Tribolium castaneum: one gene and its partner. The main gene of each other region encodes a partner of the protein of the gene in region 2 in a complex. Links are inferred from orthologs where the notes say so. Each region holds a gene or a part of one and is shown on either strand. Other genes may lie near its edges.

What was found.
Region 1: PolE2 (region 2) and PolE4 share a complex: the UniProt entries of both Homo sapiens proteins name them as parts of the DNA polymerase epsilon complex. The link is inferred for Tribolium castaneum from reciprocal best matches to the Homo sapiens genes POLE2 and POLE4.

Annotation. Positions count from the first base shown.
Region 1 is NC_087395.1:5,461,717-5,464,223, reverse strand, and holds PolE4 (DNA polymerase epsilon subunit 4), read right to left. Parts: upstream 1,072-2,507; 5' UTR 964-1,071; coding exon 751-963; intron 701-750; coding exon 560-700; 3' UTR 544-559; downstream 1-543. Other genes in the region: E3 ubiquitin-protein ligase Hakai, read left to right, coding at 1,368-1,575, 1,627-1,814. UniProt on the Homo sapiens protein: Accessory component of the DNA polymerase epsilon complex. Participates in DNA repair and in chromosomal DNA replication.
Region 2 is NC_087396.1:20,064,929-20,069,326, forward strand, and holds PolE2 (DNA polymerase epsilon subunit 2), read right to left. Parts: upstream 2,954-4,398; 5' UTR 2,820-2,953; coding exon 2,752-2,819; intron 2,706-2,751; coding exon 2,543-2,705; intron 2,495-2,542; coding exon 2,103-2,494; intron 2,057-2,102; coding exon 1,795-2,056; intron 1,748-1,794; coding exon 1,512-1,747; intron 1,467-1,511; coding exon 1,283-1,466; intron 1,175-1,282; coding exon 998-1,174; intron 816-997; coding exon 738-815; 3' UTR 551-737; downstream 1-550. UniProt on the Homo sapiens protein: Accessory component of the DNA polymerase epsilon complex. Participates in DNA repair and in chromosomal DNA replication.

The sequences.
Region 1 (2,507 bases), on a different chromosome or scaffold from region 2:
AAAGAATCAGCATGTTATATGGGATAATAAAAACGACATGGCAATATATCAATTAGCTAAAATGTTATGGACCGATTGGACACCCCTGGTTTACCCTGTATATGACTTTATTTGAAAACATATTTCACCGTTTTGTGAGATTTGTTCTAAATAAAGTGGAAACTTGTTAGAGTAAATCTGACGCAAATATGTTAATTCTATTACTCCTATTATTTTTCGAGAATTTTGCGAGTGTTCTTCAATTAGAAACTCACTAATCTAGAAATACATTGGCAAAAAAGAGAAAACATATGAACCTACGTCGAATATGTAAATTCAAATGATTTTTCCGAAGCTAATTGGAAAATCCTTAATTTAGTTAGGTTCTCTATTGTGAATTTAGAAACATTTTTCAGTGAAAATGAAAGGAATAATTTGCCGAAAAGACAAAAAACTTCCAAATTCGAAAAGAGATCTGCTATTTATTCTTTGTTTTTTTTTTAAACATAACTGCGAAGGCGCAAACACGAAAATAGGATAAGATTTACCAAAATTAACTGAAAATAATCTTAAAAGTATTTTATTCCAAGGCACCATCAAGGAAACAAAGACTAGGTATATTATCAATTGCGGCATCGACGTCTCGCTTCTGTACAGTTTTCCTTTTCCCCATCCCCATAAACTTGCCAGACTCTTTAGCAAGGTGCTCCAGAAACATCTCCTGAAATTTTAATTGAGTACCTAAGCTAACACTCAAATTTTTTTTGTTACCGTTGATTTGGTCACGAGAAATAGGGCATCTTGACTCACTAAATTACAGTCTGGGTCCATTTTCATAATGTGTTTAATTCTAGCTAGGGGTAGTTTCACTAATTTGGGTTTTTCGGGGGATGTTGTGGTTAATTCTACGAATTCTGGCGTTTCGGTAACGGGCTGCCTCTCAGTCTCAATCTCTTCTATATCCACTTCGTTGATATCTTCCATTTTATTTGTTAAAATTTTAAATAAATACCACTCAAGTTTCACAACATAACCTCAATCGCGCGCTATTCAAAGTCAGGTAAGGTGGTTACAAAACGAAATCCCCCAAATTATTTAAAAAAATTAGTAATAAAATACAATTTTGGCTTAGATTGTCTCACAGTTGTGTTATTTTTATGCGGTATATTGATAGGGATTGATAATTTTATTGATTAAGTTAATTTATTGCGGTTTGTATTCAATTTTGAATGATGTACCAAGTGGATTGGTATCCCTTCATTTGACAAAGTCTTAACCTCAAAATTATGGACGCTCTTACGTCAACGATCAAGTAAATAAAAGGTAATAACTTTGACCGCATCTATTTTAGTGTTTTGTTGGGTTTGTTGCAATAACTCTGCCCATAGATGGACGATGGTACCCCCAAGAGGGGCCGCGGCCGGGGTCGCGGTGGTCGAGGCAGAGGTCGGGGAAGAGGCCGAGGTCGCGGACGTGGTAAAAAGGCCATAAAAGTGATAGAAAGCGATGAAGAACTGGATAATTCCCAACTGCAAGAATCGTCCGAAGAGGCACAACAAACTGAAAGTGAATCTAACGAAAATGTGGCACCTAAAAGTAAATTTAATTGAATTAAAGTCAGCCTTGAATGACAATTGAATGTTATAGTTGATTTGGAAGCTGACATCTCCCAACTGGAAGCACCGACTTTTACAACAATTAACAGAGGGCCACCAGAACCAATGTTGCGGCTAGATTGGTCACATAAAGTGAATTTGATTGGCGAAAAAGTGCTCAATCCCATGATTCATTGCTGTGATAAGTGTTTGAAGCCGATTTTAATCTATGGACGAATGGTAAACTCTTTATTTTTAATACATTTTCTACTAAAATATCCGCAAAAATGTACTTAAACAAGGCTTGATCATTTTAAATCTAAAAACGGGGATTTATTAAATTTTAATCAAATTGCTCTGTAACTAGAAATTAGGTTGGCAACAGTGGCTACCAAAATCAAATCTCACATTTTTATCCACTTTACTCTGCGCCCTCTACTGAACGATTTTGAACCGCTTTTTTTGAAATTTGATTTTTGCACAAACTGCGATATTTTTCAAGATATAACTGATATAACTGATGCAAAATTTGGAATTTCAACTTCCTGCCACCTAAGTGGGCAACAGTATACAGGGTGTCCGTTTTTCCAGCTTTACCATGGGGATCTCAGTTATTATAAGAGATACGAGGTTGGTTAAATATGGGCAAAGTTGCGCATTTTTATGCTAAACAATTATCTGAAAGAAAATTAGATGTGTGGTTTTTAGTTTTTGAATTGAGAAAAATCAAAAATTTATAATTTTGGTTTTTATTTTATTAAGCGCAAACAAAAAAAACTTTGTTTAACAAACTAAATTTTGACTGTTCTATTAAATATGAGAGCAGAATTTTTATAACTTTGTGTTGTTTTGTTTTTCGAAGAATAAACTCCTAGTTTATCATGTCGTTTAGTTTTTAATAAGTAAGCTTGACGGATATGTAAAAGTGCTAGA
Region 2 (4,398 bases):
CTACCTCAATTTAAATTGGAATGTTAGGGAAAACGGGGGTTTATTACGAATTTTCCCAGAGGGATGGTTAGGTGATAAGGTGCTAAAAGAAATAATTAGTAAATTAAGTTTTTTTAAATGTGATTTTTGGTTGTAGGTAGCTGATATAGAGCCAATTTTCGACCGTCTTTTATTTTTCTGGTCTGACCGGAGAAATCCACATGAAGTCCAACCCGCCTACGACACAAGATATGCAATAACGTTGTGGTATTTCGACGCTAAAGAACGAGCAGAAGCATGCCGGAGATACGAAAAAGAACGTTAGTTTCACAATTTTTTGGAATTTTTGGTTCTGATTCCGTTTGTTTTAGGGCATTCATAGCGCTCGAAAATTGTATCGTGCCACTAACGATCAACTGTGTCCGTTTTGTAACAAACAAACCTAGTACTATGTGATATTTATCGTTTGTTGAAAACTGGTAACAGTTGTGTACTGTTGTATATAATGTGTATTTTTCTGAAAGCTAAACTTTTTTTGATTATTTATGTTTGACAGTGTGATATTTTCTGATTCAAGTCAAATTGAAATTCTTTAATACGTATTGATTTAGGCGGTATTACAATAGGTTATTTAATTCATTTATCGCCGAGGCGACTATTTTAATGTGAATGTAAATAGTGTACAAGTAATTTTCAAGTGTACAATCTAGATTATGTTTGAGACCTAACTAATAAATTTATATGCTATTTTAAGGCTTTCACAGTAGACATTCCTCGATTTTGTCTGTTGCAGGATTGTACGCCTTGAACTGGAACCCGCTCTCACAAAACGAACCCTGAAACATTTTTTTAAACGTGGTCAAGTGTGCTCTGAAAATTGCATGAGCGTATGTCTCTCCTCACACGTACATATAATTATTACATTCAATTAACATTTTAAAATGACGCAAAATTACTTTACAAACATTTTTTTAAACACTAGTTAATGTAGCCAACTTAATTTCAAAATTCAACTTACAGGGTTTATAAGTTGGCACCCTTTGTATTTCCCTTCGTAAGGTTCGGCCTTGTCTCCTATCACTACTAAATCAGGGAGAGGATTTAAACTTAGAGTGTAATCAAAATCCCAATGAACTGTCAAAGCGTTTAAGGGCAAGGGCGACAAATGCCCTTGACTTATTATAGTCCTGGTCAGCTGTAACAAATGCCTCAATTAAAATTCCGATCAGTTTGACCTCAGATATTGAAAATGAGTTGGTAACACAGATTTGCCAACTTAATTTCAAATCACAGTTATTTTTACATTTTCGGACAATTCGCTCTTTTTCGGTTTATGCAATGACGCTTGTAGCAATTTTGGGAGAACATCGGCCCTAAAAATCGTAATTTCCTTATTGCAATATTGCAAACGGCACGGATTAGACGTAAAAACTGCCTTTTTCACCATTTTCGTCATATCTTCAGTTATGCATGACGGAATCGGCAGTCTAAAACACATTAAATAATAAAAAAAGCAAATTAATATTTTTCACCTTGGCACGACGTATGAAGTGCATGGATCCTCCAAACCCGGCACGAAAATAAAATTCGTAACAGTGGCCAAATTCTCGTATTTGTTAATTAATTCAGCTAGTTGTTTGAAAAGTTTCCTCAAAGTGTCCATCTTATTGCTGCTGCAAGACTCTGACATGAAATTCCCCATGAAAACGAACGCCGCAGGCGGGCTGGGGTTGAAACCCTCAAACAGCAATTCAAGTTTTTCAAAAATCTAAAATTTGAATTAAGTTTTGTGGATTTTTTTTTGATCGTTATTACACTAGGGTGGTCAAGCCAAACATTTGAGAAAAACATGAACGAAGCGCCGCGATTTCGTTGTAAGTGATCGCGTAATTTTACGGAGTCTTTGAGGGGTGTTGGAGATGGGCCCCCGAAATAATTTATCGTGTTGAAAAAGGGGCGCGAATTGGCGTATTCCTCCCCTGGGGGTAGAATTAACGTGGAGACTTTGATTATCTTGTCTTCGTAATGTCCGTTAACTAACACAAAACAGTTTTCGGCAAATAAGCCCCCATAGTAACTAAAAATAAAGAGTAAATGAGGCGAAAAAATAAGTGGGGGCTTACACAGCGTGGCTTAAGTCCAGTTGGACGATTCCCGTGGGGTCCTCTAAGTAATATTTGCCTTCAGACACTTGCAATAACGAGCCTAATACCAGAGTATGGTTCAGTGAGACATTCGAAAGTGTTAACAAATAATCAACAGTTTGCAATTCTAATTTAATATTCGTGTTTTCTGTTGCTTTCTGTATAAAATTTCTTTTGGTCCTGTGTAAAATCGTGGCATATCTGTCGGCAAAAAGCTGTGCCTTGGAATCCGCAGAAGACAAAAGTCGGGGCTTATTTTCGGTTAAATAATACTGTTTTCTATCAAGATTGTATGAAACTTTTGGAAAATCGAAAGCGTTTATAACACTGAAAATTGTTTCATTCCTGTCGTAACCAGACTTCAGGCAAACCTAAAATCATTCGTCTAGCCACTGTTTTAACAAATTTTATTTAAAAACCTCCAAAGCCCTGTCTATGTGCTCCTTTTCGATACTGTGCCCCAGAAGGCACTGGTTTTCTAAACTGGAGCACAGATTTTTAACACAATTATCAAAATGGTGTTTGTTTTCTAAATCGATACCTTCTCTGAGAAATTTGGCTACAATTTTGCCACAAAACTCCCTGAAATTACAATAAATAAGTAGTCCAATTTATAATAAAAACACACCTCCGAATATTAAATCCGCCGAATTTTAACGCCGTGTGCAACTTCTTTTTGACTTGTTCAACGTCCATTTCTTTGATTTCTGCTTTGAGTATTTGTAAATTGTGAATTTTTTAGAATAAATAACCTAAAATTATTTCCCGCCCAAATTCTGGTTGGCGTTGGAAAACCCGTATTGCAGAAAAATTGTAAGAGGGAAAGAAAAATTACAGTTATTGCTATGGGTAAATTATTTGTTATATTATAATGCAAAAAAAAGCTTGAAGACGAATTTTAAAACTTATGTAATTATTTTTAGCCAAACGTTTTGAATTTTATCGAGCGTTTTTCGATTTTATGCTTTCAAAGTTGGCATTGCTTTGACGTTCCAAAAGTTTGGTTATTTTATTGTGTTTTTAAAGTTTCGTTTAATTTATTATTTTAACAATAATTATGTGTGCTTTACCGAATTCCTCAACCATAAATATATCAGTTGGTGATTATATTCTGACGCCGGCCTCTTGTGCCTCTTTAGTAAATGAAGTTATGAAAAACCTGTTGTATCAAAGGACCCAAATCCCTTATCCCTATGCTTGGCTCAAGAGCATCGTGAAGAAGAAACGCAAAAGTATTGAAGACGGAGAGGAAGAGAAGAAGACGAATTTTACGCTAAATAAACATTACCAGACTGTTTCAACAGCGTATGATGCTGTTGAAAATATCGCCTTAAACATAGTCAAGTGTTTTACTGACTTGGGGAATAGTTTGAAAGAAGTTATTTTTGTAATTGGCGTGACGCCTGTATGTCCTAAGGAAGTCTTTACAGTGAAGGCATCGTCGCTCGCTTTAGGCCATGTTGAGGGGAATCATGTGATGGAAAATAGCAGAAGGCAGTCCAGGATATTAAGGTAAAACCGCTTTGTTGTACTGTATTTTCAACGCTAAAGTTTTCAATTTTTGCCAGGAATATATTTTTAGAGGAGGTCTGGATGAGTCTAGTAGAAAATTCATTACCTTGTTGTAACACATACATATTTTTGAAAGTTGAAGCGTCTCAAAGTAATTTAAGTAACGTGTGTAATGACAATATATTTATACCATCTAAACCTTTATTAGTTTCTAATAAGATAAAGCAAACTGTTATTAATTTTAATTCAAATTCTCAAGTGTTTTCATGCTGTGATAAATTGGAAGTATTTAAAGATTCTTGCGATGTGGAAGGTCCAGGAAAATGTGAACGTAATTTTAATGAAAAAGACAAAAGTTCAGAAAATGGAGAAACGTGGTTGCAGTCCACAATTGTAATTCGCGGTTTTAAAGATTGTTTTGTAAATAAAGTAGCGGCTTCTGAATTATGGTAATCTTTTAGGGAGTATCAATTTTTAACTGGAATTTTTTATATCTACAATGAATTTTAAGTAAAGAAAATATACCTACATTTTTATGAAAGTGCTTTTTATTAACCTTATATTTAACTTCGTGTTTAATTAAATGAAATCTCCAGTAGAACCCTCTTATCCAGACAAATCCTGGCTTTCCATATTTCCCTTATTTTGCATAAGAATGTTTATGTCGAAACTGCGATATCTCGAATTTTTTGATAACTTGAATGATTGTGAATTCCAGAATCCTGGACCAAAATTTGCTTAAAATCCTTTTTGTTTTTATTGA